Tamandua tetradactyla: one gene and its partners. The protein of the gene in region 3 interacts with the protein of the main gene of each other region in a pairwise test. Links are inferred from orthologs where the notes say so. Each region holds a gene or a part of one and is shown on either strand. Other genes may lie near its edges. The genes, in order: CYTH4, CYTH3, IPCEF1 and CYTH2.

Region 1 (6,900 bases), on a different chromosome or scaffold from region 3:
CTCCCCCATGTCCTGCACCAGTGGCTCCCTACTGTCCCCAGCATTGCCCAGTACAGGACCTGGACACCCAGGATGGGTTATAAAACAAATGAATGAACAAACGAACAAATCATCGGAGACCCAAATCTTCCAACAGACCACCTACATTGCCCCCAGTCCATTTCCTCTCTCAGGCCAGTGTGAAGCACAGCAGTGACTCATCTTCCGGCCTTCCCTGGAGGCCCCTCCCCTCCCTTCTCTCTCCTACGGCCAGGCGAACCTCGGGCTCTTTCTTTTCCAGCATACCGGTTCTTGTCCCTGCTCTGCCACTTCCTGGCTATGTGACATTGGACAAGCCAGGCCTCTGGGGGCCTCGTTTCCTCATGTGCATCATGGGGACAGTCATCCCTGGTCCTAAGGACTTCAGCCTGTTAAACTGCAGAAGAATGAAGCAATAACGGTGGAAAGACAGGCCGTGGGAGGGGGGAGGCAGTTCTCAGCAGGATGTCATCACCGCCCCATCTCACCTTCACGTCAGCTCTGCCACTCATCTGCTGAGTAACCTTGACCCAGACACAGCCCCTTGCTGGGCCTCTTCTCGCCTCCTAATACCCACCTAAGACACATTCACTGAGCTGTACAGTCTGAGCCATCTGTCCCCAAAAAGGCCACAGGAGAAGCAGGGGTGTCAGGGAGAGAGCACTGGACAGAGCGTCAGGGGACAGGGGGTGTGGCCCTTCTCTCGGCCTCCTCTGACACATCTGTCAAACGGGAGCTTTTGAAATGGGCCAGTGTTTCTCTAACTGTGTTCCCTGGAGCCCTCCCTGGTCTACTTCATGGGAGGTGGTGGGTGGGACGTCCAGAGATGGGGCCAGAACTGCTCAGTCTGTGTTGCATTTCGTTTGAAGAAAGGGTACTGTTGCTAAATGAACTGGAAGTCATCTCAACTTCAGGAACTGGACAGCTTCTCCCAGCCCTTATGTTCTGGAATTCCAGGCAATGCTGGAAACTTCTGAGACTCAGGATGCAGGGACATGTCCCTCTTCCAGCCCTTCTTTCTGCCTCATAGGGACACAGCCTTGTCCCATTCTCTCCCAACTTCATAGCCTTTTTTCCTCTTTCACCACAGAACTGGGGAATTTCTCAGCCACGGCCTCTCCCCAGCCCCCACCTCCCCCTTCTCATTCCAGTTCCCCTCCTTTGCCTCTGAGCAGCATCTTTGGCTTCCCCAAAAGGCCTCAGGGCCCTTGCACCGACCAGACAGATGTCACTATCATCAACACCATCATCACCATTACACAAGAAGCCTGTCTCGGTCCCAAATCTGGGCCTTCGTGCTGGCTGTCCCCTCTGCCAGGAAGGTTCTTTCTCCAGAAACCACATGGGCTGCTCCCTCCCCTCCCTCAGACTCTGCACTTTTGTCCACCACATTCATCACCAGCTGACATATTAGAACAGATTTATTGTCCATCCTCCTGCCCCACCCGCCCCCGGGAGAGCCAGCCCATGAGGGCGAGGGGGCATTTTGCCTGATTTGTTAATAGCTCTACCCCAAACTGGGACACAGCTTGACACCCACCTGGAGCTGTTGGGCTTCCCAGATACTTTACATCAATTCACACATTTAATCCTTCCAGGATCCTGTGAGGCAGGCACCATTCTTCCTATTCTACAGAAGAGGACACTGAGGTCCAGAGAGGTTGGCCGTCTTACCCAGGATCACACAGCGAGAGAGTGGAGGAGGGGACTTATGACCAGGCCTGGGAGCCCAGAGTCGCCTTGGGGTCTCAAAAGTCCTGGAGGCCACTGAAGAAACCCCCTGGCCAGGTCCAAGCCAGTCCAAAGTCAGAAGAGCCCACCAGTGTCCGGGGCCTGGTTCCCTCTTGCCCATGAAGCAGTGAGCAAGCTATTTACCTGCCCAGCCTCAGTTTCCATTTCTGTTAAACGAAGCAACAGTTCCTGCCCCCACCTTTTTATAGAGACTGCGAAGCTCACATGAGATAAGACAACTGCCAACCCTTTCTGGATGGGAAAGACTATTTTCTAGGGAACGGAGGGCAAGGTTACCCCTTAACAGGTGGGGATGCTGAGCCCCAGGGTCAGGTGGGCTTGCACAGAGCCCCCAACCTCTGTGCCCTGAGTGCTGAGTGCTCTGTCCTATGCCTGGCCTGTCTTGGTGCACGTTGTGGCCGAGGAGCTCAGGGTGGCCCCAACTCCGTGGACTCCCCCATGTACAGGTCTCTGAGTGCAGAGTCCAGGGAGGGGACCCAAAGCTGACTGGAGGTGGGGTGGGGCAAGCCTGGGTCTGTGAGGGTCTGGGGGAGGGGTGCAATGGAGGCCCGGGCCGAGAAATGCAGTCTGGGACTCCCAATGTGGGGCTGGGATGCCCACCCTGGGCATGTGCCCCTCCCTTCCCACCTCCCCCATGTCAATGCCCTCCTGGGAGGATGCTCACCCTCTCAAACTGGCCATCCCCTCCCCTCCAAGAGCTGGTCTACCCCGGGCACAGTGCTGGGATCCTCCTCACAGGTGCCACCTGTCCCTGTGGAACCCCTCTCAGCCCTCCACACGCAGCTTCCCACTGTCCACCGTTTCTCACTGCACTGCCTGGGAGGTAGAAGGACGGTGGCAGGAGCCCCCGTTGCAAAGTTCTAAATTTGATTCCTCCTGCCTCTCTGAGCCTCTGTCCCCACCAGCCCCAGTCTTCTCTGCAGGCCCTTTGGCGTCAACTTTGTCAGTCCTGCTGAGCATTGGCGGGGGACAGGGGTGCTCGACAGGAGGTATGTCTCGGCCTGTGCCCTCCGGACTCCCCCTGCCCGTCCACTGTCCTCCTCATGGAGCTGAGGTTGTCACTTGCACGCACCTACACACTCACAGCCTTCCCCGCAGCCCCTGCCCTTCCAGGCGCTTACCTGGCTGACACAGGTCCATTCTGAAGCCCCCAGGGAAAGGTGGCCGTGCTACTGTGGTCTGCCGACCCAGCTGCTGCTCAGACTGGCCACCAGGGATGCGTCACCCCCACTGCCAGACCCTGTCTGGCGGCCCCGCCCAGCCCTGTGTGGGGAGGAAGTCCTGGCCCGGCCCGCGGGGTCTGCCGCGCAGGCTCTCCACGCAGCAGCACTTCCTAAAAACCAGCAGTTTTGAGTAGCCTGGGTCCTTTGCATTTTGGGTGTAAACAAGGGAGAAATAGAAAGGAAAGAGACAGAGAGAGAGAGGAAAAGAGAAGGCAGCGAGACAGAGAGAGAAAAACACTCACAAAGAGTGTGACAGCCACTAGCAGACAGAATCTGCTCTAGGACGCAATACACATTTATGCAGCAACCCCCCCTACATATAAGCCAACAGACCATGCAACTTGAACAGGTCAAGCCTGACCCCGGGTATTCCGGTCCACAGAATTTCCTTCACCAACTTCCACCTGAGGGAAAAGTAAAACAAAACGAATTCAGTGCTAGGAAGGGCTCTGTTTCCTCTCAAAGAAATGTCTGCCTTTTTCTTGTCTAGTGACCAATTGGGTAATGTGTTCAGTTTCCCTTTCCCCCTAGGCTGCTGGGAAACTCACAGGCAAATCTGATGTTTATTTATACCTGTTCTATTAAAGCATGTAGACTTTGGGGTCAGGCTCAGCCGTTTGACTCTCAGCTCTGCCACGCAGGACCTGTGTAAACTTGGGCAAGACGCTGACCTGCAGTGGGCCTCAGTTTGCGCATCTATAAAAGGGGAATAATTATTCTCACTTCAGAATTATGTAAGAGACAGAGTGAGATAATGTGTATAAGGTGCTGGAATGTAGCAGGTGCTCAAGAAACTCTATCTTCTTTTTCTCTTTAGAGTTTTTAAAATTAATTAAAAAAATATATGGCAACAAACTCAAACATTCGTAACTTATGATCATTCCATTCTACATATATAATCAGTAATTCACAATATCATCACATAATTGCATATTCATCATCATGATCATTTCTTAGAACATTTGCATTAATTCATAAAAAGAAATACAAAAGACAACAGAAAAAAAATTCATACATACCATACCTCTTACCCCTCCCTTTCATTGATCACTAACATTTCAATCTAAATTTATTTTAACATTTATTCCCCCTATTATTTAATTTTATCCTGTATGTTTTATTCGTCTGTTGATAAGGTAGATAAAAGGAGCATCAGACACAAGGTTTTCACAATCATAGTCACATTGTGAAAGCTATATCATTATACAGTCATCGTCAAGAAACATGGCTACTGGAACACAACTCCATGTTTTCAGGCAGTTCTCTCCAGCCTCTCCATTACATCTTGGATAACAAGGTGATATCTATTTAATGCGTAAGAATAACCTCCAAGGATAACCTCTCGACTCTGTTTGGAATCTCTCAGTCATTGATACTTTATTTTGCCTCATTTCACTTTTCCCCCTTTTGGTCGAGAAGCCTTTCTCAATCTTTTCTAGTTTGCTAGCTGCTGGAATGCAACACACCAGAGATGGATTGGCTTTTAATAAAAGGGAATTTATTTCATTAGTTCTTCAGAGGAAAGGCAGCTAACTTTCAACTGAGGCTCTTTCTTATGTGGGAAGCCTCAGGGTAATCTCTGCTGGCCTTCCCTCCAGGCTTCTGGGTTCCAACAACTTTCTGTGAGGTGATTCCTTTCTGCATCTCCAAAGACCTGGGCTGAGCTGTGAGTGCTGAGATGAGGTATGCCGCGCTGCTTGGGCTGTGCTACATTGCGCTCTCTCATTTAAGCACCAGCCAATTAAGTCAAACGTCATTTATTACAGCAGGCACTCATCCTAGCCGACTGCAGATGTAATCAGCAACAGATGAGCCTCAGGCACCATTAGCTCATGGCCACGGCAACAGAACTAGGTGCCTTCACCTGGCCAAGTTGACAACTGAATCTAACTTCCACTTGTCTACCCCTTGTCAACTTGGCAACTTCATGCATCACCTTAAACAATATTAAGGTGCAAAAAATTTTCTTCTGGCTGCGGACCTGTGAATCTCAAAACAAGTTGTCTGGTGCCAACATGCAAAGGAGGGACAGTCACAAGATCTATAGGGAGAAATGGGAAGGAAAATCTACAGGGCAAACACCACTGGATTTCAAAGTCTGAAAGTAATTTATCCTTCAGCTTTAGAAGGTGGCAGTCCCACCCTTTCCAAGGGCTTATGCAGTGGCCTGCCTCCTTCCAAATCAACCTTGGGGAACGTTGAGGAGATCACCTTTTTCTTGTTTCCACTCTCTCCAGGCATCGGGGCCACCCTTGGGCTCTCTGCCATTTCTGGGGCACACACTCAACCCCTCCATGTGGTGGCAGCCAGGCTCTCCCCAGTCCCCCAAGGAGTGTGCTGTACCTTCTCCAAGGCCTGAGGCTGCACTACTCTTCCACTACAACGAGGTGGGAGACTCATTCTCACCCTTCAGGGTAAACTCATCCTCTCCATGTATATGGGTGGACTTCCACTCACCAAGGCTGACTTGGCTGCAGCCACTGCTGAGTGCCCAATCTGCCAGCAGTGGAGAGCCACACTCAGCCCCCGATATGGCACCATTCCCCGAGGTGACCAGCCAGCTACATGGTGGCAGGTTGATTACATTGGACCACTCCCTTCATGGATGGGACAGAGATTTGTTCTAACTGGAATAGACACATACTCTGGATATGGGTTTGCTTTCCCTTCACGCAATGCTTCTGCCAAAACTACCATCCGTGGGCTTACAGAATGCCTTATCCATCGTCATGGTATTCCACACAGCACTGCTTCAGATCAAGGAACACACTTCACAGCAAATGACATGTAGGAATGGGCACATGCTCATGGAATTCTCTGGTCCTACCATGTTCCCCATCGTCCAGAAGGAGCTGGATTGATAGAATGATGGAATGGCTTTTTGAAAACTCAGTTATGGTGCCAACTAGGTGGCAATACCTTGAAAGGCTGGGATAATGTTCTCCAGGAAGCTGCATATGCTCTGAATCAGCGTCTGCTGTATGGTGTTTCTCCCATAGCCAGGATCCATGGGTCCAGGAATCAAGGGGTGGAAATGGGAGTGGTACCACTCACTATTACCCCTAGTGATCCACTAGGAAAATTTTTGCTTCCTGTCCCTGCAACCTTGAGCTCTGCTGGTCTACAGGTTTAGTTCCAAAGTGGGGAGTGCTTCCACTAGGAGAAACAACAATGATTCCATTGAACTGGAAGTTAAGACTGCCACCTGGTCACTTCGGGCTACTTATGCCACTGGATCAACAAACCAAGAAGGGGATTATATTATTTTCTGGGGTGATTGACTCTGACTATCAGGGGGAAGTAGGACTGCAACTACACAATGGAGGTAAAGAAGAGTTTTCTTGGAATATAGGAGATCCCCTAGGGCATCTGTTAGTACTACCATGCCCTGTGATTAAAATCAATGGAAAACTGCAACAACCCAATCCAGGCAGGACTACCAATGGCCCTGAAACTTCAGGAATGAAGATTTGGGTCACCCCACCAGGCAAAGAACCACGGCCAGTTGAAGTGCTTGCTGAGGGTAAAGGGAACATGGAATGGGTAGTGGAAGAAGGTAGTGATAAATATGAACTTTGAGTATGTGATCAGTTACAGAAACGAGGACTGTAATGCTGTTTTGTTTATGTTATACTATTTAAGTTGTAAGATATCAAGTTTAAGAATGAATGGCAGGACGCTTGCCTGCCATGCCAGAGGACCTGGGTTCGATTCCCGGAGCCTGCCCATGTACAAAAAAAAAAAAAAAAAAAAAAAGAATGAATATTACCCAAGGATTTGTACCCTATTCTGGAGAGATTTAATGTGTTTCCAGTTATATGTAGGACCATTGAGTATTGTTAGGTAAAAGAAAAATGTGTGTTTTATTGTTTTTTATTTAGAAATTAGGTATGGTTTAAGATGGTAT
Region 2 (7,526 bases), on a different chromosome or scaffold from region 3:
AGACAACCCAGAGATTAGCAATAGCAAGACGCTGCTACCACCTGTAAAGGGGAGGAGATTTCCAAGGTTGGGGGTTAGGGTCGCTGGGCAGAAATGGAAACACAGAGGACCTGGTAGTGGGAGCTGGAGCCAGGAAAGAAGCAAGGCACCTGCCAGAGCCGCTGTCTGAGGCTGAAGGAGGGGACACGAAAAATAACCCAGCCTCTCCCTTCCTCCTGCCACCCAACCTCTCAGGGGGCTCCCTCCGGCCAGACTCGGCCGAAGCCAGCTACCCCAGGTCCGGGAAATGCAGCCTACCCTCCTCCTGGGAGAAGGGCAAGGCACGACCTGAAGGCCAAAAGGATAGAGGCCAAAGCTGCTTCCACAAAAAGCTGAAACAAACTTACACCTCCACCAGCAACGAGACTGCCTCGCAAGCGGGCAGTTTGCAGACCAGGGGGAAGGGGGGCACTGCCTGATAGGTGAAAGGCGGGACTCAATACAGCTTTAATTTATATTTATCTCATAATGAGGGAAGCTGAACATCTTTTCAAGTGAGGCACAAACTTGACTCTTATCTACATTAATGAGGTGGGAGGCAGCAAGGTCATTTAACAGCACCTGCCCTGGATGGTCCATTAGGAACTTCAAGCATATTCCAAAACTGGTCATTAAGATGGTGGCTCCTTGCCAAACCAGCCAGTCACCTTCCTAGTAGAGACATATCTCAAGAATTGTTCTGTTAAAACTGAAAGGCGAGTCCCAAAGGAACTAAAAATGCCTTAACTATGCTCTGCACACGTTATACTTAACAATGCGTTCCTGTAATCTCGCAGCCCCCACTTGTTCCTCCTTATAACTGCACTCCAACCATTCATATCACCATCCTCTCTCCTTATCTTGCATTGAAAGAACATATAATAAATACATCCTGGGCAAAAATTAAATTATAAAAGCAGTAAGCAGGAATCAAATTTTGGAGTCTTTTAAATCTGACCAACACGTTCACAAAGACCTTTTAAATTGTCTTTGGCCTCTGCAATAACAGCTATTTGACTAGATTATTTTTTTAAACAAAGCTGAAACTGACACCCCCAATACTGTTCTAGGTTGTGTATCGTACTCTAAAAATATGCAAAAAATGTTGTCTTTTACAATCACAATTGTCTGACAGTTGACTGATAACTGAAATTATCTTTCAAAGGGCTGAACTTTATTTTAAAAACACAAATTTTAAAGCTAAGTATTTCAAAAAATGCTAAATTAATTCTTCAACATTTCTTTACTCAGAGTCCAAAGCAAATTGCAAACAAAATCGCCAAGCCAGCTTCCCGGACTCGAAAATGTCAAAGGTTTAAACATCACGGTCGTTCTGTCTACTTTCTGAGAAGGAAAACCTGCTCTGCCTGCGGGGTTATTCACATTGTGACAGGCAGACTGCACCCACAGGGAATCCTTCGCTCCGGATCCTGTCTTCAGGCAGCCAGCCTGGCTGGAGGAGGCTTTGCAACGGGGCTCCTTCTTTCCACAACACTTTCTTTCATAAACAACACACCCACTTGGTGTCACAGAGCCGGCCCTCGCTTTCACGCGGAGAACCCAACTCTCCAAATGCCACCACTCGTGCCAACTTCCCACCACCGCCGCCGCACTGCTTCTTTCTGCAAAAAAAAAAAAAAACCAATTCCCTCCCGGGAGCACTCAAGTTCTAGAAGGCACCTTGATTAAACCACTTCATCCCGAAGCATCCGATGCAGCTGATTCTTACAGGCAACCGCTGAGCAGCCTGTAATTAGGATTTTTCAAAACGCCTCCTTATTACAAGGAGTTCGGATAACTTCGGTCAGCCAGTTAAATTAAAAAAAAAAAAAAAAAGGTACTCTTTAGCAAAAGTATAGAGGATCGCAACTCCGGGTGTTCCGGAAAAAAATAAAAATAAAATAAAAGGAACATTAACCCTTTGCCTGCCAAAACAAGAACCCACCCCCTGCGCAGACTCGCAATTCGCAGCAGCCCGTGCCCCGACACGACTGAGCGTTGCATTCCACCGAGATAATCTCAAACACATGAGAGCCTTCCAGCACCAGGCCCGTGAGCCTCGGACGCAGACCCCATGGCCGTGCCCACCCCAACCCGACCCGCTTCGGGGACGCTCTCCTCCCCGCCCGAGGCGCCCGAAAAGGCTTCCCGGGTCCCGCCCTCGGCTGCCCGCCGCGGCTCGTCACTCCGACCCCCAGCCCAGGCGACTCCTTCTATTGCCGACTCGGTACCGGTCACGGTTTCACAAAACGCCTGTCCAGACCTGTCCCCTCGCTGCCCCCTCCTCAAGCAATTCCAGCGGCCGCGTCTGACCCCAAAGCCAAGAAAACTGTCATTCCTTGTAGTCCTCTAGCCCCCTCCCCTCTTTTCCCAGGGAGGGTCCCCAACTGGAAACTTTCCTCCTGCCCGTTCCCCGTGGACTCGGTCCCCCTCCGGCCTCCCCGAGAAATGAGGCAGAAAGGGGGGTGCTCCGGAGGGCGTGGACGCCCTTGGCGAGGGGATGCGGGGAAGGTCGCGCGCCGGGGGCCCCGCGCCCCAAAACAGCCACCCGGCAGCCCCGGCCCGAGCCTCCCCGGCGGCCCCGCACCGGGACCCCCGCTCGGGTTCGGCGGCGACACCAGCCGGCTCCTCCCCGGCGCCCCCCACCCCCCGGCTCGGGCTCCGGGCCCGGCGCGTCGCGGGCCTCGGGCGGTCTCCAGCCGGCCCCGCGCTGCCCCCGGCCCTGTTTCCTCAGGCCGACCCCGGACCCCAGCCGCCGCCGCCGCCGCCGGGCCCGTCCCAGACCCTCAGCCCCAGGCCGCCGGCCGGGCGGGCCACACCTCCGGCACTCACCGCCGCCGCCCTCGCCGCCGCCGTCTTCATCCATCCTGACGTGACTCCCGCAGCCGGCGAGCCCCGGGCCGGCGGGGCGCGCGGTGCAGATGGCGGAGGGGGGGAACCGCCGGTCCGGAGCGCGCGTAGAAGGCTGCGGGGTCGCGGCCCGGAGCCTCCTCGGGCCGGGCTGGGCGCTCGCGCTCGGCGCCGCCCGCCGCCGCCGCCACCGCCGTCACGTGACGCCGAGGGGCCCGCCCCCGGGTGCGGTGGGCGGGGCTGCAGACGGCGCGGCCCCGCCCCCGGGAACCCGCCCGAGCCCGCAGCCCAGTCCGCGTGGGCCCGCCGCCCGGGCGCCTTCGCCTCCGCTCTGGCTTGTGGGGGTCCTCCAGGGCGAACCAGGCATCGAGACGCGCCTCCCCGCCTTAGGCGACCTACGCACAGATGTGGGGTCCGAGACGCAGCAATGCCCCATTCTGCAAATCCCCGTGGCCGGGGGGGGGGGGGGGGCGTCCTCTTTGCACGTGCAGGCGGGGAAAAAGACCAGGTGAGGCAAGTGCTCGCAAGTCAGACCCTCGACCTGCGGCCCAGGAGAGTTTAGGTCTCCCCGGCCTTCAGGATCATCGCAGCCTTTTCGGCTCTCTGATGCGTAATGGAGCCTCTTCTCCCTTCCTGGGGATCAGCGTACACTTTCACATGAACAGCGTGTAAGGCTTGTGAATGAACGCTGTCGCTAGGTGGGAACCCGAGCGGGCACACCTGTGCCCAGCCCTGCGCGGGCACTGTACGAGGTTGGCCAGTTCAGCCTCAGATGCCCTTGGAGTTTAGCTCTAGTCTGCCTTGAAAAGCTGCCAGCTGCCCTGGATTTATGATGCAGACGCACAGAGATGAGAGAGAGAGCTCTCAATTCACTTTCCCCCCGGGGGCACAGCCAGGGTCCTAAGCACTGGTCTCCTAGGAAGAAGACCGCAGCTTGTCTCTGCTCCACATCTTTCACGTTCCTAATTACTGCCCCTGCTCCCCCGCAGCATTGGGTGTGGGCCCCACCCAGGCCTTTCTGTTCATTTTGCATGAGCTTAATTGCATTAAAGAAAAGCAAACACTGTAATGGAGGAGATGGAGTCTACCTAATAAAATTTTCCTGTAACTGTTTATCCTCACAAATGACTCATTGAATCCAAGGATCCCTTTTCCACTGTCGTCTATTAAAATGGACCGTTTGCTGGAGATCCTGGGATGATTCCAGAAGTTAGAGTTGAATTTCCCGAAAATTTCAAGAATTAAGCACGTGCATTCCATTTCTAAAGCCCTCGGGGACACTTCTGGGTGCAGATAAGATATTTGGCAGTTTATGTGACAAATGTGTAACAGAAAAGGGAGTCAAAAGACTTAGGTTCAAGACTCAGCCCACAAACTTGGCTTCCTGATCTTGTTCCTGTCAGCTTTATCTTAGAGATAACTACACAGTGACCGGGGGGAAATGACAGCATATTTTGAACTGGATAATATGATAGGGTGATATGTGGAGTTTTGAACTCAAAAGTACTGTCAATTATAAATGCTTGTCAATGTCAGTCCCTAATTCCTTAGGTCCCTTGGCGTGTGATCCATAGATGCTTCTCACAGAGTTTGAATTATTCCATTCCAATTGTGGAATTCTTGACAGTTATGCCAAACACTTCCAAGCAAACAAACGTTTCTTGACCTCCAGAACACAGCATCAATGAAGATACCTAAAGATTCCCTTTTTGGTCTTGTCTCCTTTCTGGAAAGAATTCATCCAACCATGACCACTGTAAAAAGTTAATAATTGGCTCAAGAAACAGGCACAATCGTCCATAAAAGGAATGAAGTTCTGATACTGCTATACAAGGGGTGAACCTTGAAGACATTGTTTTGAGTGAAATGAGCCAGACACAGAAGGACAAATATTGTATGACTTCACTTGTATGAAATATCCAGAAAGCGCAAATTCATAGCAATGGAAATATAAATAATTGACCTGGGCCAGGGAGATGGAGGGCAGCAGAGAGTCATTCCTTAATAGGTGCGGAGTTTCTCTTTGGGGTGATGAAAATGTTTTGGTAATGGATGATGGCAATGGTTGCATAACATTGTAAATATATTGCCATTGGAGTATACAACTTAAAAATGGCTAAAATAGTAATCCATGTCAAAGTCTGAAATATGTTCTACAACTAATTGTGGTGCTGTGCTTTGAAATTTATACCTTTTTCATATACATGTTATTTTTCACAAAAAAAAAAGGAAAAAAAGTCGACTGTGATGATAAAAAAATATTTAAGCCCTCTAGCCTCCTATATTCTGGAGCAGCTAGAAGGAAAAATATGAGAGGACCATATGGTAGCCCGTGATGAACTGTGGCTCTTAACCACTCTTAACCACTTGTTGAAGAGTGCTTTGAAAACTTACTTTTTTATTTCTTTGCTTTGTATATATGTTATACCATACAATAAAAAAGTTTAAAAATAGTAATTGCAAAAAACTGTGACCATCGATTGTAACAAATTTTCGAAAAAATGCAAATGTTGGTAAAAAAAAAGGTTAAAATGGCAAATTTTATGTTACATATATATATATGTTCATTCCCTCAATACAGTAAATTTAAAGGAAAAGAAACAGATGCAGAAAATTCTGATTTAAATTAAAGTTCAAGATTTAAGAACACAGGATTTAGCTCACTCCTCCCTAAGCTACAAGCAGCTGCCCTTTTCTGCCAAAAGTGCCTCTCAGCTACCATGTCCTTGGACCCAGAGAAGCCCAGGCCTTTGCCTTGATCTTACTAAGTCCCTGTAAATAATGTCGCCCTCTCCATCTAATCTAATTGGTATCAAAATAAGGCATAGCCCATTTATTTGTAAGTAGAATATTATATTATCCCTTTAGTTAAATCTGGGCCCCATTTCAATAAAGCCTGTAAAAATGTAGGGGGAATAAAGTCTTAGGGTGTCATTTATACATCTAACTACAGGGAGGGGCACTTAGAAGACTTTAGACCCTGCACAACCAAAGAAAATAATATCTAATGGGAAAATGAGATTTTTTTTTTTAAGGAAAGGTGCTTCCTGGTCTCTCTCAAATCCCAGCACAAATCCAATCTGCTTACATGCACGCTGCCCCACACATAGGAACACTAAGAATCCTGATTTGTCCGCTAAGATTAGGCCATCACTTTATGTCTGGCTTATGAGTGGTTTACTCGGAGGTTGAACTCTTTATAAGTGAATCTTTAAGGGAAACAATTTATGCAACAGACATCTCTCCAAGATAACAAGTATTGAACCTCAAACCTCATTGGGACCCTTCAATCAGACAATAAATATTTAGGTCATTTCTATATCCCAGGCACTGTCCTAGGTGCTGGGAATATGACAATAAAAAGACAGATCATTCCATACCCTCATGAGACTTATGGCCAGGCCCAGAAGCACCAGTCATTAAGCAAATAATTCACAAATAATTGTTTCATTGTAATTTTTGATACCCTACCCTACCTTACCCACAAGACTTTCTCACAGTATTGCCTGTTCCGAGTATTGCCTGTTCCGTGTGTTTCAGCTTTGCACTTTTGCAGCTCCTTGGGGAAGACAGAGACTGTGGCCTGTGTTTAATTTGTCTCTGCCACCCACTGCAGGGACTACCCAGGTCAGAAAAGGGAGAAACAACAGTGTTAGTGGCAGCTGCTGGACTAACAAGGCAATCAAAAGTGAGAGACCTTTTGAAAGCATGTTGAAACCCATTTATCAGCCCTCTGACTGTTGCAGAAATAGTTTAAGAAACCTTCAATGTGCACATTCTGAGAAAGGTGAAAAAGACTTCTCGTTTGCACGTTCATCTCCCTCATTCAAGCGGACGTCCGTGAAATCGTACAGAAGTCTCCTCTCCCAGGACTAAGGGCCACCATAGGCAAAACCCTGCCAAGGCCAGTTTCCTTGTGCTTGGCCAGAAAGAGGCCGTCCGGGCTGCATGAGCTACGGCTGCTCCCAGACCGTGCACAGAGCAGTTCCTGTCTCCTTCGATAACGGTCAAGCAATGCAGACACGGCAGTGACCTTCAGCAGATGGGAACCTCAGCTAATCTGTCACATCTGCTCAGAGGTCTGGTCCACTCGGGGGAAGGCACACAGAGCCGCCTGCTTGCTCTCAGCTCACGGTCACGAAAGGAACGTCATATTTTCCGAAATCTAATTTCATCTAGGAAAGAAAGCATCTCATCAGAGTGGAGATGAGCTTGTGCAGATTGGCAGTCTCCACTCCACCCAGACAAATAGCAGAGGTCCAAGCCTCGGGTCAGAGCTCATTCGATTTTCAAACGCCCAGATCTTCTGATCCCCAATGTGTGCGGAGGCTCCCCTTCCATTCGTTCCATGTGGCTTGCCTTGCACTCGGTTTCCCTGGAATCCGCCCTCTTGACACCGGCTCCCTGGCCTCCCCTTACCAAGGGCAGGTTCATTCCTTTTAGATTGATTAGCAACTTGCCTTTTTGCAAGCACAAGTTCCTTTAGTGGTAAACTTGGAAAAATGAAGTTAAACCACCATTTTGAGCTCTTTGTGCTTGGAAGAAAAGGACTATACCCATTCAAAGCAGTACCTGTATTAAGTTATTACACACAAGTAATAAAAAGCTGGGTTATTTTTATTTAGTTCTTCATTTTTAGAGTCTGTCCCTGACCTACT
Region 3 (7,788 bases):
AAGTGCCATTTAGTGAAGATCCATGAAGTGCAGGCACTATACAATCATATTTCTAATCCTCACACAACAGCCCAAAATGGTGACTATATTATAAACACCCCCTTCTAGTAGTTCAGAGGTGATACAACTTGTAAGTGGTGCATACAGATTTTGAACAGGTGTCTGACACCAAAGGTAGGTTTTCTCCCTGCTGTATTGCACTCCCCTCCCCAAACTCACCACTATCACCATCTCAAACACCACCACCTCTGTCACCACCACCATCTTTACCACCTCCACCACCAATCTCTCCTCTACCAACTTGTGATAGTTAGGTTCAGGTGTCTACTTGGCCAGGTGATGACGCCCCATTGTTCTCTTGTTGTGGACTTAAATCATCAGCATATGAAGTTCATGTATGGCTGATTACATCTGCAGTCAACTAAGGGAGTGCCTTCAACAATGAGTGACACTATTTAATTTAATTAGCTGAAGGCTTAAAAGAGAGAGGTCAAAAAAGAGCTCAGCAGCTCAGCATACCTCATCTCAGTACTTGACCCAGACGTTTGGAGATGTCAAAAGGAATCATCCCAGGAGTGCCGACTGAACCCAGAAGCTGGGAGGGAAGCCCAGCAAATGTTCACTGTGTGCCTTCCCATGTGACAGAGAAACTTAGGGGAAAGCCAGCTGCCTTTCTTCTGAAGAAATTATAAATTTGTAACTAAATAAATTCCCTTATTAAAAGCTGATCCCTCTCTGGTGTGTTGCATTCTGGCAGCTCTAGTAAACTAAAACACACCTCTCCCACCATTTCCAACAACGCCTCCAACACCACCTCTACCATCACTTCCAACACACCACTATCTCCAGCAATTCCTCCAACACCACCTCCACCACCACATTTCTACTGTCACCTCTGTCACCTCTGCCCACTTCTACCTCCACCACTTCCACCACCACCCCCACTGCCTTCAACACCAATATGTCCACTTTCAACACCACCGACACCACTTACGACTCACCTTGCCATCCCTTCCACTTTTCTACCCTAGGGTTTCTTATCATCTCTCTTTTGCATAGTCTTTCTTCTTTTCACACCCTCATATTCTCCTCCTCTCCTGCTTCACTTTGACCTCTTCCCCCATCCCCTTACATGTTACCAAATCCTCCTGGGTAAGAGAAATAAAGCAATGACTACCCCCACCACACTCAGTATATGAACATCCTAATTATTCACTCATTCAACAAATGGTTACTAAGTATAAGATGCGTCAGGCATTGTTCTGAGTCCCGCGGGTACAGTAATTTCTGCATTTGCAGGATTTTCTTCAACACCAAAAGGCCTATTTTTCTTTTTTAGGATTTTCTATGTACACACACCCACACATACCCACAGCCATGTTACATCTGCTTGCAAATTGTTAGCCTGTGCTCTGGTTATCAGCACACACAGCCCAGCCTCCAAGGTGGATGGAAAGGAGAAGTGAGCAGCTCAAGAAGGATACTCAAGTCAAAAGGAAAGTCTCAGGCAATAGCCATGAAGTAATTTCTTATCTCTTATTGCCACAGCAAACTACCACAGGAAAGAACTTCCTATTTCCATAGTCTAATGATGCACGCTTGCTTAACGCCACTTGCCTGAAGTAATTTATACGTGGACTCTCTCTAGAAAAGACACTTGATATATAAAGAGAAGGAAAGAAAAAAAATTAAAAGGTAAATCAAAGAGTGGGCACATCAACAAATATGCAAACAATTCCTTTTCCTCCTCAACTGCATGATACGAGCAGAAAGGAAACTGTGTTCTTTGTGTTTCAATTTCCAATGTAAAATTAATACCTCCAGAGGATTCTGCCTATGCCTTTTTAGGGTAGAGGACAGTACTAGGAACACAGAAGCCTCTGAAGACTAGAAAGTCCACTTCTATAATCAAACATGTCTTAGTGGGTTGTGATTCTAACTCCTCTAATTAAAATTTTTTTCACATACACCCAAGCAAAGAAAACCAACCACCCTAAAGGCCTGTGGTAAAAGCCTTGTACCTGCCTCACCTTAGCTTTCCTTTTCATATTTTTTCAAGCCTGTGACTTTTATTGAAAAGTAAAATCCCCTCCAGCTGCCTGATACAAAGGGGGATTCTCCACAAAAAGCACATTACTCAAAAGTGGGCAGCCGCAATGTTTTTCAAAATGAACTCTTTAGGACCCAAACAAACACTGAATTGTGCGTCCCTAAATCAAACCCACAGTCTGCAGTTCTAACAGCTATCAACATAACATCCATTTAAGAAAAAGAGAGAAGCACAGTAAGTACACAACTCTATCCCTCTAAGCTTTAACAAAGTTAGAAAATGCCTTTAACACAGCACATAACAGCAGTGGATTTATGAAGAGCTACGCAAATATGATATCCCAAGAACCACATTTCAGAACTCACTATTCTAAAGATAGTGTTAGGGTATCAATTGCTTTTCTATCTCAACATGCCAACCAATTACTTCCCATGCATTAGTCAAGGAGTGGTTTTACTTACATGCAATAAGAAGAGAGTAAATCCGAGAGCTGTTGTTTTATCCCTGAATTCAGAAAATTCATAATAGAATTCCACTCTAAGCAGCTAGAGCTCTGGAGGCTCAGTCTACACAGGTCTGCCATTCAAAGCTGACCAGAGAATAAAACTCTTACGAAAGAAGAGGAAGTGCCATCTTACTTCCTCAATTTTATTGTTCTTCCTTCTTATTGTTATTGAGCCCTTCCTTGATTCCAACACCTAGGACACAATGCATGCAAAGTGGGCATGTCCTATCTGACTGATTTTGTCTATCACTAAACACTATGCAGTGTATCCATTGGCAGAACAGAGGTACAAACATTCCATGGCTTCACTTTCCTGTTTGAGGGTAAAGCTGTTTATTTACAGGCATTGAGAATGAAGTCCTTTGCAGAGCTGTTCCCATCATGTCAGGGTGAGATGACATTTTTTCACATATCATTGACCTCTTTCATGTTCTCATCTCCATGTGAGTTTTCTTCCTTTCTGGTCTCCTAATCATTTTACTAAATAAACAAGGTAAGAATAAATTTCTAAAAGGCATTTTAAGACAAAATTAAGTCTTAGCCCACCATTGTTCTGCAGTAAATACAATAAATTCTCTAACTTCAAAGCTTTTCTTTCACACAGGAGAAAAAGAAAACAACAGACTGAAAGTTAGAGATGTTTGAACTTATCTCTGCTAAATTCCTGCCACCTGCCTCACACCTACCATAAACCCCCCTTTTCAACTCCAGCTCTTGTCTCTTTATACCTCCATGGGGAAAGAATGCAGTCTTATTCATTTATACCCTGCTTTCAAAGAAAAGGAAATAAATCATTAGCAATGGGCTCATAACCAAGGCAATCTTTCTAAATGTGGGAGCCGTACCCTTAGCATGCACACTATTTCTCAGTCATTGCATAATAGAGTACCACAGAACTTAGAGGCTTAAAATAAAAAGTGTTTATCATGTTATATTTTCTGCAAGAATCTGGGCATGGCTTGGCTGGTGTCTCTCACCAGGTGGCATCACGCTGTTGGCTGGGCTGCAGTCATCCAGAGGCTCACCCAGGGAATGAACCTCTCCCATGCTCACTCACATGGTCATGGATAGGATTCAGATTCTCATGAGCTCTTGTCTGGGGACTTCAGTTCAGTTCTAGCTATTGGCCCCAAACCACCTTCAGTTCCTTGCCACATGGGCCTCTCCTAAGGGCAACTGACAACAAAGCCAGAGCAAGCAAGTGAGAGAGAGAGAGAGAAAGAGAATGAGAGAGAGAATGAGACAGAGGTCACAGTTATTTGTAACCTAATCTCAGAAGTGATATCCTGTCACTTTTGCCATATTCTCTTTATGAGTCACTAAGAAGTGAGTCACTAAGGCCAGTGTACCCTCACTAAGAGGGAATGATACAAGGCACGAATACCCAGAGGTGGGGATCACAGGGGGCTATCTTAGATGGTGGCCTACCAAAATATATAAGACTTTTTATTTATTTATTTTTTTTTTGGGGGGGGGCATGGTCCAGATATCGAACCCGGGTCTCCTGCATGAAAGGCGGGCATTCTAACCTCTGAACTACCCGTGTACCCAGTATTCAAGACTTCTCTCCAAGATCAAGTTGCCCCTGTCAAGCCAAATACAATAAGAGGGAAGACCAGTCTAAAGGTAAAATCATCTATACAGTCATACCAATGAAATAAAAACTGAGACTTTCATCCAGGCATTAAATTAGCCTGCAGCTCTCTCTAATTATTATCAACCTCACAGAACACACCTGAAAACTGAATGACCCTTATCATTTCATGTCCAAGTCAACCTCACAGAACACACCTGAAAACTGAATGACCCTTATCATTTCATGTCCAAGAAACAGATACATTAACATGCAAACAAAAACCTAAACTAAACTATAAAATTAGTTTAGCATCTGGAAGGGAGCTGATGCAATTTCAATAAAAAGAATTCCCTGGATCAGAATTGCCTGACACTTGGTCTTTCTCCTCTCAACACGCAATGAATCTGCTCCTTCCTAAGAATGACCCGGCAGGGCTGCCTTGCCTGTGGCTCCCACCAATGTCTCATAATGCAAAAGCAAATCACTTCTTCCATCTTGCTTTGTGAGCCTGATAGCTTTGTCCATAGGCAATTAGAAGGTCTGTTTTACTGGCAGGCAGACGACTGGGAGAAAGAAGAAAAGGGTCATTCTGAGTAGAGAATTCCGTTGACCTTAGAGCTTCCTAATTTAATGATGTGTTTGTAACATCTGGCATTCCTGACAGAAACCAGTGTCACATGATTTGCAATTTAACTGGCAAAAGATCAAGGGCAACATTTAAAAAGCCAAGTGGAAATCCTCTGTATGGCATGTTTTATGTCTCTGCTTTAGATGGTCAGAAGCTCTTTTTTTTTTTAATTTATAGATTAAACATGGTCTACATCCAAACATACCCCATACTTCACAACCCAAATGTCAATAAAAACTGCACTGAAAATAAATACTGTTGTTGGCAGAGCAGAGGAACAGGTATATATACATAAAGCCACTATTTGGGAAAAATAGTTAGTTACCTTTGGGGAATAGATAATAGTTGGAAACTACTTCAGTCCCTGGTCTCCAGCTTCTCATTTTCTATATATTCATTTCATAAGGAGATCAAAATTATACCTGTAGAAGAGTGAAAAGATTAAAAGAAGATGCTGCACGTTTTGACCAGAAACATGGTTTCATTTTTGTGTAAGCCTCTATTTCTGATAAGCGTCACCTCATTTTCTCCCTGCATTGAGTTGTTCTTCTAGTTCCCTGCTTTATGTAGCATCCAGAGAATACTAGATATTGAAGGAACACTTGCAGACATCAATAGGAGAGACTTGTTTCTCTTTGGGCTTTTAGATGCCATCATCAAAGATACCATCAAAGTACATGTTATTTATAAGTATGGGATCAAGACTGGAGCCACTTAATTCTCTGAGCCAAGATAACCTGATGTGTAGAACTGAATAATCCTCAAGGTGGCTGGCTTGTAGTTCAAGGTGGCGGAATGACTACAGACTTTCCTTGCTTCTTCCATTTCCTCCCAAGACCTCCCTAAAATTGACAGGAGCACTATAAAAAAGATAGAAACCCACAATAACAAAAACAAAATTGGGGTGAGATCATTAGAGTTGGACAGATCTGACCAGATTTCTAGAAGATGGGAAGCTGAAGGGAGAGCAATGACCGATGAAGGTAAATAGGGAACCACGGCATAGTGTTATTAAGGAAAGGATTATGGAGGAAGAAACTATTCATCTGTGGGGCAGCATACCCAAGATGATTAGGACTCAAAAAGCTACAAGAAATCAGCAAATATGAATATGTGATGGGACTGAAAACAGGAAGATTACTTGAAAGTCTGTAAAAATCTAGCCCCTTTCCCATGCTCCTCTTTCACACCATTTTTATATGCCAAGATTTTAACCATACCCATAGGATCCTGTCAGGCAGCCATGTCACTCCACCCTAGGCCAGAGGACTCATCTATAAATAAATTGAAATTATGCAGGGACTACAGATAGCTTATGTGGGGATGGGTGCTCCAGAGCAAAAACTCTACCTTCTGGCACTAGAATGTCACTCAGCATATGCTGGAGGATAACCTATCAGTAGACAAGCTCCACCCACTTGCTTACAATATCTGATCTGATCTGTATTGCTCAGTCTTAAATAGGATCTAAAACCCAGCGGTCACCAGCACTTGAAGTTACCCTGCAGTAGGAAAGAAGAGAGTAAGTGTGTGAAGTATGAGTCCTGGCATGCTGGAGATCAGGAGGCAGAGACTTCAACCTGGGTGACCTGCACACTGGCCATGCCATCTCCCCTGGGTGAAAATGGGACTTCAGGGCACTGAATTTGATTCAGGGGCACGGAAATTCAGTAATGTTATCAGTCGGGGTGCCTGTTACAAACTATAGAATTTACTCTGCCTCGTTTACGCAGAAAGAAATCTAAGATACTCTAAGTTATTGATGGTCTCACCATCAATGTGACTCTGTAATCTTTATCTTCTATCACTGGGCACTAGAAGGTGCTCTAAAGAATTCCTTGGTTTCTACACAACCTCATTTCTGCCTACATTATGCAGCAGCTAACTCCTTGATAATTGGGATCAGTCTCCCATCCAAACAGAATAAACCCTTTGACCTGTACATCCTGTTGGACCCCAAATAGCCTAGTGGCAGTCAACTCAGCTTCCAATTCAATGAACAATAATTGTAATCCTTGCAGAAAGAATTCTTTCCTTGAATTCTAGTACCTTTACATCCATCAAGACCAAAGTCAGAGGGATAAAGTAAAACTCTGCCAGTGGTCAGTAATTGTAGTAATAAGACGTACCACTCTCACTTCCACCCATTAATTCTTAGATGCATAGCTATGGATAAAACAGCAACATACATCAATTCAGTATATATACTGTATCTGCAGAAGTCCAGGAGATTCGGAGAGAGCAGAGAATGCTGCAGCACCACAAAGCTGAGTCCACCAGCCAGCGGTCTTTGGAGACAAAGAAGGAAAATGCCTCCCTGGGAGCTTCATGAAACAGAAAGCCAGGAGACAAAGCTAGCAGATGACGTTGTGTTCACCATGTGCCCTTTCAGCCGAGAGAGGAACCCTGACTGTGTTTGCCAGGTGCCTTCTGGCCTTCTTGAACCAAGGCATCTTCCCCTGGATGCCTTTGATTGGACATTTCTATAGACTTGTTTTAATTGGGACATTTTCTTGGCCTTAGAACTATAAACTCATTAAATTCCCCTTTTTAAAAGCCATTCCATTTCTGGTATATTGCATTCTGGCAGCTAGCAAACTAGAACAGGAACTATAGTTACTAGCTGGGTATACTGATGTCTCAAACACAATAGGAGTTCTGTTAGTAAAAATAAGGGGCAGATGGATAGTGGATGGTCATCTAACAGTATCTACTAATTAATGCTCCCACAGAAGGAAATATTACTTCTTGGATGACAAGTTCTTCCTGAATAGTGATATAAGCCCCTAGTATGAAAAGCTTTAAACTTCTAGATGCAGCAAAACTGTGCCTTGACCAGATATTGTCCCCAGTCACTATACATCCATACTGGGAATTCTGAGAGTAAGGAAAGCTTCCTGAGATATGCTATATTTACTCCTGTTTGTGAGTTCTCCTAGCTGTGCTGAGTTTCTTTTATTCAATAAATCATGAACTTAATTTCAATTTATAGTGTTTACATTTGAGAGGAAGATTTTTCTCATCAATCC
Region 4 (7,518 bases), on a different chromosome or scaffold from region 3:
CCCTTTGCTGCAGCCCCGCGTGACCCCAGAGGGTGAGTACATCCCGCTGGACCACCAGGATGTGGACGTGGGCTTTGATGGCGGCACTGATCGCATCTTCCTCGTGTCTCCCATCACCATCGTGCATGAGATTGACTCTGCCAGTCCCCTGTACGAGCTAGGACGTGCCGAGCTGGCCCGGGCTGACTTCGAGCTGGTGGTCATTCTCGAGGGCATGGTTGAGGCTACAGCCATGACCACACAATGTCGCTCGTCCTACCTCCCTGGTGAGCTGCTCTGGGGACATCGTTTTGAGCCAGTCCTCTTCCAGCGTGGTTCCCAGTATGAGGTTGACTATCGCCACTTCCATCGCACATATGAGGTCCCAGGGACACCTGTGTGCAGCGCTAAGGAACTGGATGAACGGGCAGAGCAAGCTTCCCACAGCCCCAAGTCTACATTCCCTGGCTCTCTGGCTGCGTTTTGTTATGAGAATGAACTTGCTCTGAGCTGCTGCCAGGAGGAAGATGAAGAAGAAGAGTCCAAGGATGCAGATGGGGCAGAGGCAGAAGATGGGGCTGCCAGCCCCCGAGTTCTCACACCAACCCTGGCAGTGACTCTGCCCCCATGACACAAGCTGGTGTTTCCACATTTGTGCCCCCTTCTCAGAGGCAACGAGATGGAGAGATGGTGCTCTGTTCTGGGATGGGGGCAGATGGTTCCCCAAGGCCGACAGCCCCTTGGGTAAATTATTATCTAGGTAGACCCTGCCATGCCTGGTGGATTCATCATGGATATACTGGACCTTCATCCCTCTGTGTTCCATGCTTCCATCTGAGACTCCTTTATGAGCCTGAGTCTCAACAGATCAGAGGAATCCAGAATTCTGGACCACTCAAGAGGCAAAGACTAGTAGTTCTAGATTCCTCTGGCTGGCTGTCCCAGGTTGTTGAACAGTCAAGAATCAGTGGTATTGACTACCTCTGGGGGAGGAACTTAACAGTTCTCAAACAGCAACAGGGAACAAGAGTTTGTAGGTCTGAATTGACCTAAAACTCAAGGAACTGTTGTTTCTAGACTCAACCAAATCATGTGTTCTCCAGCACCCAAGGAGAGAAGGCTATGGAATGCCCCAAGTAGTCAAGACTGTCTTGAGTGATGAGAGACAATGACTGAATATCTGGACTGTAAGTCAAGACCTGTGGTTCCAGAAAGCCCAAGAGATGAGATTCTGTGAGTCTAGCTTGATCAGAGAGGGAAGCACTGGTGATTCACAACCAGGTTTGACCTAGAGAGTCAAACCACTCCAGAAATTCAAGAGTTATGTTTCTAAAATGCACAAAGCAATGGAGAGTCTGTGGGTCTGGAAGTACTGAAATGATAGATTGGCAGTTTTTGATATTAGTTAAACTCCAAACCACTGACTGGCCAACATCCAACCAAAAGGATAATCACTGCTTCGGAATGACTCAGAGTTTGTTTTTAAAGTATCATTCTAGATTGCCCAAAGGAATGTGGATTCTGCAGGTCCTATTGATCACACAGTCAAGGAAGGAGTGGTGATTTTGATATACTGGTTCTGGTTTGCCCAGTGGTATTGAGAATCTCAATGATTCTAGATTGTTAACTGATAGAGCAAACTTCTTTGTGGTTCTGTAATGCCAAAAGGAATCGAGGCTTCAGGGATCTGGAGTTGCCCATTACCAGAGGCCTAGAAATTCTGATCACCTCCAGATGGAGTGCTTGGTAGTTCTTGGAGGTGGGCCCAGGAATTGCTAAGCAGAATTTCTGGGCTGTCCAAGAAGATGAGAGCCCAGGTGAAACCTTGTAGGTAGCAGGGCTGATTAACGAGTAAGGGAAGGGGGAGACACAAGGCTGTTGAGTCTAGAAAGCTCTGGAAACCTACACCTAGTGATGTATATCTATTTCTTAAAGATGTTATACATATATGTATTATATATATATATGATATATATTTCCCCTCATTCCTACAACAAGGTTAGAAATTGAGCATGAGCTAATTGGAACCGAGTCCTTACAAGGATCTGGGAGGCTTTGCTGTAAATCTCAACTTAGCACCAACTTACTGTGTGACCTAGGGCAAATAACTCCCCTCCACATCAGTTTCCCCATCTGTAAAACAGGGCATTGAAACTTGACATTCTCCAAGGACCCTTCCAGCAGGATGGCTTCTCATCTTACTGAAGGTTGTGGTGGGGGTGAGAGTCTCCCCAGCCCTGGAACGCTGAGATGGGAGATACTCATGGAGACTGGCTCTGAACTTGGTATCTAAGTCACAGGGCAGACGGCAGGCGAGGGGTATGATGTGGGCTGTGGTCCAGGGCCAAAATCAACACTTCCCCGGTCCAGCTTGCTGGGTGGGGAGGGGCTGGGGAAGGAGAAAGGGGTAGCTCTGATGCCAGCGCTCTTCCCACTGTGGGGGAAGCCTGTGTTTTAGGGGGAGATCTGTCCCTCAGATTAAAGAACTGGGAGACTTGGTGGGTGTGTCTGTGAATGTTTCCGGGGCACGGGTCCTCAGGCTTGCCCTTCTGCCCATGTTCCCATCTACCTGAGTGCCCCGGAGGCTTGGAGCCAGCCACAGAGGGAGCCAGGGCCAGTGAGAAGGGCACCTCGCACCCCTGTGTCCCAGGACTGAAGACAGGCACTGTCATTGCCTGTCAGCCTGCTTACGTGTTGCCTCAACCCAGGCCCCAACTTCTGGCCTCCCCAACCCCCTCTCATCCTTCGGTAATAACCGGATGGGATTAATTAGTGGGCTGCTCTCTCCCAGCCCAGCGTGTCTGAGGTAGGGAGGGGCACAACGGAAACACAGAGGTGGGCAAGGGTATTAAGATGGTAGTGAAGGGAGGGGGTGTGTCTGTTGGGAAAGAGAGAAGGGGGCAGGGCTGGTACGACCGGGGTCTCCACTGGGGGTGTGGGGGGGCAAGGTCTGAGCCTCTCAGAAAGGTCAGCGAAGGGATTAAGAGGCTCCGTGTCTAATCCGACAGCTTAACCAAGCCCTGGCCCTGAATCCGACCCCACTTGCCCAGCCCAGGGGCGACCAATGAGGGCGATGCTCAGACAGCACCTCAGCCCCAGTTCAGCAGGGCTCAGCTTCCCCACCGGGCCCGGACGTTGCACCGGCTTTCCCAGCAAGGTATGGGAAGGAGAGGCTGGGGAAGGGAGGTGGAACCGTCTCAGAGGAAGGAAAGGACTCGGAGGGAGGAAGGATGCTGAGAAAAGGGGTGTTTTCTTACGGGGGAGGATGCTAAGGGGAAGGGTTTGGAGGAGGATGCTAAACTGGGGGGGGAGGAGTTTAAGAGGACGCATGGAGCATTGAGGGGAGGGGAGAGGGGGAGAGCCTGAGGAGCAGAAGGGGCCAGGAAGGCGCAGCCTGTAGCCTCCTATTGTCTCAGTCTCCAGGACAGATCCCCAATAGCAGAGCATTTAGGAGAAAGAGCTGATGACTACGCAGGAGGGCGTAAAATAAATAAATAAATAAAGAGGGTGTGGAAAGAGGAGGGGCCTGAGAGGAGAAAGGCCATAAGGAAGGTGAGCCAAGCGGCACCCGGTTGCATGGCAACCGCTGAGGTCAAAAGCAAGCCTAGTCTGCTAGGAGGTGTGGCTCAAAGGAACAACCGACAGCTGTGGCCCCACCCCTTGGCAACAGACCTAACAAAAGTACCACCCCAACCACCCCCCCACCAACAATTCATTACTAGAGGCGGGGCATGGTTGAACAAGTCTTGTGTCCAGAGCCCGAGCGCAGGCGCACTTCTCTAGGTTCCCGCACATTACCACCTCCATGCAACTCATTTCCAAGGCTTCTCATTGGTGGGCACTCCTGCAAAGAGCATTCTTTTGCTCCGGAGGCGGGGCCTGGCGCCCTGACCGCGCTCCGATTGGCCCCACCGACCGTCTACCCCCAGCCCGACATTCCTATCTCAGCTCCTCATGCGCCCATTGGTGCTGGAGGACGGTCCTTCGGTGTCGGGGGCGGGGCAAACGAGAGGCCACGCCGTGGATTGGACAGTGTCAAAACGAGGGGCGGTCCCTACCGGCGGGGCGGTTGGGAGGCGAAGGGAGAGTCTTTTCAGCGCTGAGGACTGGCGCTGAGGAGGCGGCGGTGGCTCCCGGGGCGTTTGAGCGGGCTCACCCGAGCCCGCGGGCCAACGAGGATCCCGGTCCGACCGGCGGCACCGCCCCGGACTCCCCGCGGGCCTTCCTAGCCGCCATGGAGGACGGTGTCTATGGTAGGTCGGGGAGGGGCGGGGCCGGCCGGGAGCGGATGGGGCGTCTGGTCCCAAGCGTTCCGCGGCGGGTGTCCCCCACAGCCCCCGTCCGGCGTGCGCCGCCCCAACTGCGCGGCCCCGTCGTCGCCCCGCTTTTGTGGAGTGCGGGACGGGCTTCCGGCGAAGCCCGAGAGCGAAGCCTTCCAGGCCATTGTTTGGGCTGAGCCTGTTTCCGGTGGCGGCGGGAGGGGGCGGGATGGAGCGGGGAGGCGAGGCCGGTCGAGCCCGGTGCCTGCCGGGAGCGGGGCGGGGAGGAACCTTCGGGGCTTCGCAGGGCCCGCGGAGGCGGGGGCGGGGACCCCCAATGCCCCGCCCCCCGGTCCCAACCCCTACAGCCTGTCACCAGCTGGCCCCGCCTTAGCTATTCCCATGGACCCGGGAGTCCGGCTGCCCGGCCCCATCTTCGCTCAGGACCGGAGAGCCCGGGCCCCCGCCACTTCGCCAGTAATGGAGTCAGAAAACCAAGGCCTCAGCCCCCTCCCAAGTAATGGACCTGGAAGTTCGGGCTCCCGGTCCCCCTCTCTCTCAGACCCAGGAGCCCGGAGTCCTCTCCTTCCCCAGCACTTCCTTCCCTAGATGGAAGAACTCAGCCTCCAGCCCCTTCCTCCTTCAGACACCAGGCATCCCAGCCTCCCAGCCTGCCTTTCCTCAGACACAGGAGTCAGCACCCTCATTCGTATTCTCCCCCAGGACCTAGGGAGTCCTGCCTGCCCCGAGCTCCATCCTTCCCCCAGATTGTAAGAATCCAGGTCCTGGAGCCCCGAGACCTGATCTCTGCCCTTGACTTCTGCCTGTAGAACCCCCAGACCTGACTCCAGAGGAACGGATGGAGCTGGAGAACATCCGACGGCGGAAGCAGGAGCTGTTGGTGGAGATCCAGCGCCTGCGGGAAGAGCTTAGCGAAGCCATGAGCGAGGTGGAGGGTCTGGAGGCCAATGAGGGCAGGTGAGGGCTGGGACTGGGGCTGTGGGGGCCTGGGCTAGAACTGCCCAGGTACTGACCCGCCACCCCCTACCCTCTGCCCCTGCAGTAAGACCTTGCAGCGGAACCGGAAGATGGCAATGGGCAGGAAGAAGTTCAATATGGACCCTAAGAAGGTGCTTTGGGACCTTGGGAGCTGGGATCCATTTGGGGGTTCTGGCACCAGCCTGTGGAAGTGTGATGGTTACAGACAGGTTTACTGTGGGTGGTTACACACTGGATCCTAATCCCTGGATTCACGTATTCATTTGTTCGTTTGTTTATTCTGTAAACCGTAACCAAATGGTCCAGCCTCCTTGCCTTTGCTTGGGTTGTATCCCTGCCTATAAGGGCCTTTTCTCCTTTCTATTCATATTTCTGAACCCACTTTTGGTATCACCTTAGATCCTGAGAGGAGCTTGAGTCTGGTAGGGAACATGGACAGGACCATGCACAAAGGGTTAACCAGTACTGTGACAGAGGGAAGTACCAGAGCTGCAGACACAAGAAGGGAGCCTGGTAGAGTTAGGGAGGGCTTCCCTGAGGAAGTGACATTCCAGGCAGTTTTGACTGATGGTTAAATGTTCGTGGGGTGAAGGAAGAATGTTGCTTCAGTCCATCATTCATTCAGCACCCATATCTCAAGGCCTCCTATGGGCTGTCTCTGCCCTAGGCGGTGTCAGAGATCTCCCCAGTTGTTAGACTCTGCCTGACCCTCAGGAAGCTCTTGACACAGCACCCACACCCAGAGCAGTGGATCACGAGAATGGAGATCCTCATGGTGCAGGAAGGGCCAGAGAAGCCCCAGCCCAGCCTGGGGCCTGGCCTTCAGAACCCTTAACTGTCTGCTAGCAGTTTTCCCTTTATTATTCTTGCCGAAAACAATTGTAGTTTGTCCCAGTCATTCAAGAAGCATGTATTGGGTATCTGGTTTTTTCGCTTGGCCCTGGTTTTAGTGCTGGAATTAACCAGCAAAGGCAGAGGGAATAGCAGATGCAAAGGCCACGAGGGCAGGGAGGTGATGGAAGGACTGGGAGGAGCCTGAAGGGGAAACCTGGCCCTTCCCTGTTTGGGGGAGGGGGAAGGGGTTCCTGGGGGTGTTAACAATGGGCAGGTGGGCTCCACCACCACCAGGGTGGTCTAGCCCCAGCCCTGAGACCCAGCTCCTACCTTTCAGGGCATCCAGTTCTTGGTGGAGAATGAACTTCTGCAGAATACACCCGAGGAGATCGCCCGCTTCTTGTACAAAGGCGAGGGACTGAACAAGACGGCCATTGGGGACTACCTGGGGGAGAGGTGAGAGCACCTGCGGGTCCTCCCTGTCCCCCATGCCCCCAGCTCCTGCCCTCATGCAGTCAAACTAGGGTTCTCAGCCCATGACCCTGCCATGAGCATGTGCTGAGCACTGCCCCCACCCCCAGCCCCCTGGTGCCAGGTCTGCAATGGGGGCCGGGCAGACACTGCCCACACTGTTTGGAAGCAGCCACTATCTCCCAGGGCTTTGCTTCAGGTCTCCTCCCACACCAACCTCCCCAAACTCCTTTCTGTTTGTAAATCTGTCCCTGTCCTCCTAGGGAAGAGCTGAACCTGGCGGTGCTCCACGCCTTTGTGGATCTGCATGAATTCACCGACCTCAATCTGGTACAAGCCCTTAGGTGAGGGCGAGGGGTTGGGAGGGCAGGTGTGCATCTATTGGGACTTTCTGAGTTGCAAATTAATTACTCATGTAATGACTACTTAAGGTGCTCAGAGGGTCAGGAAGTTAACTTTAGCTCCTGGTTATGCTTCCCACTGTGTTGGCACTGCTCTCTGCAGACCCTCCTCCCACATGAAAACAGAAGTTTCTAGCAACCATTAGACCTACAGAGCAACCTCAGCAGAAAAATAGAAGCAGTTGCTATATAAGTCCTTCAAAATTCTCAGAGGTGGTGCTCATTAGTCAGATAATCACATATCTATCCTTGAAACAACTGTTGAGTCCAGGAGAGATTTGGAGTTCTTATTGGCCAGTTCCAAACACAGGTACTGACCGTGGGGGAGGGGGTCCTGCCAGCCCGCCATCCATACCCGGCCCCTCCTCTTACAGGCAGTTTCTATGGAGCTTCCGCCTCCCTGGAGAGGCCCAGAAAATCGACCGGATGATGGAGGCCTTCGCCCAGAGATACTGCCTGTGCAACCCTGGGGTTTTCCAGTCCACAGGTGGGAGCCCGGGCTCCAGGGTCTGAGGGAGGAAGGGCTGGGGGCCTGGCTCCTCCCCTAACTGGGTCAGAGAGGAGGGGCTGGGGGC

The links.
Region 1: the proteins of IPCEF1 (region 3) and CYTH4 interact in binary tests that used the Homo sapiens proteins (3 or more experiments, as listed by UniProt). The link is inferred for Tamandua tetradactyla from reciprocal best matches to the Homo sapiens genes IPCEF1 and CYTH4.
Region 2: the proteins of IPCEF1 (region 3) and CYTH3 interact in binary tests that used the Homo sapiens proteins (3 or more experiments, as listed by UniProt). The link is inferred for Tamandua tetradactyla from reciprocal best matches to the Homo sapiens genes IPCEF1 and CYTH3.
Region 4: the proteins of IPCEF1 (region 3) and CYTH2 interact in binary tests that used the Homo sapiens proteins (3 or more experiments, as listed by UniProt). The link is inferred for Tamandua tetradactyla from reciprocal best matches to the Homo sapiens genes IPCEF1 and CYTH2.

The regions. Positions count from the first base shown.
Region 1 is NC_135333.1:29,589,129-29,596,028, reverse strand, and holds the start of CYTH4 (cytohesin-4), read right to left. Parts: upstream 3,009-6,900; 5' UTR 2,911-3,008; coding exon 2,892-2,910; intron 1-2,891. UniProt on the Homo sapiens protein: Promotes guanine-nucleotide exchange on ARF1 and ARF5. Promotes the activation of ARF factors through replacement of GDP with GTP.
Region 2 is NC_135349.1:5,669,619-5,677,144, reverse strand, and holds the start of CYTH3 (cytohesin-3), read right to left. Parts: upstream 3,019-7,526; 5' UTR 2,885-3,018; coding exon of another isoform or gene 2,881-2,884; coding exon 2,838-2,880; intron 1,875-2,837; exon of another isoform or gene 1,270-1,874; intron 1-1,269. UniProt on the Homo sapiens protein: Promotes guanine-nucleotide exchange on ARF1 and ARF6. Promotes the activation of ARF factors through replacement of GDP with GTP. Plays a role in the epithelial polarization.
Region 3 is NC_135328.1:146,556,453-146,564,240, forward strand, and holds the start of IPCEF1 (interactor protein for cytohesin exchange factors 1), read right to left. Parts: upstream 3,013-7,788; 5' UTR 2,512-3,012; intron 1-2,511. UniProt on the Homo sapiens protein: Enhances the promotion of guanine-nucleotide exchange by PSCD2 on ARF6 in a concentration-dependent manner.
Region 4 is NC_135342.1:12,587,076-12,594,593, reverse strand, and holds the start of CYTH2 (cytohesin-2), read left to right. Parts: upstream 1-4,514; 5' UTR 4,515-4,640; coding exon 4,641-4,755; intron 4,756-5,068; coding exon 5,069-5,216; intron 5,217-5,301; coding exon 5,302-5,368; intron 5,369-6,408; coding exon 6,409-6,527; intron 6,528-6,805; coding exon 6,806-6,886; intron 6,887-7,317; coding exon 7,318-7,430; intron 7,431-7,518. Other genes in the region: KCNJ14 (ATP-sensitive inward rectifier potassium channel 14), read left to right, coding at 14-610. UniProt on the Homo sapiens protein: Acts as a guanine-nucleotide exchange factor (GEF). Promotes guanine-nucleotide exchange on ARF1, ARF3 and ARF6. Activates ARF factors through replacement of GDP with GTP.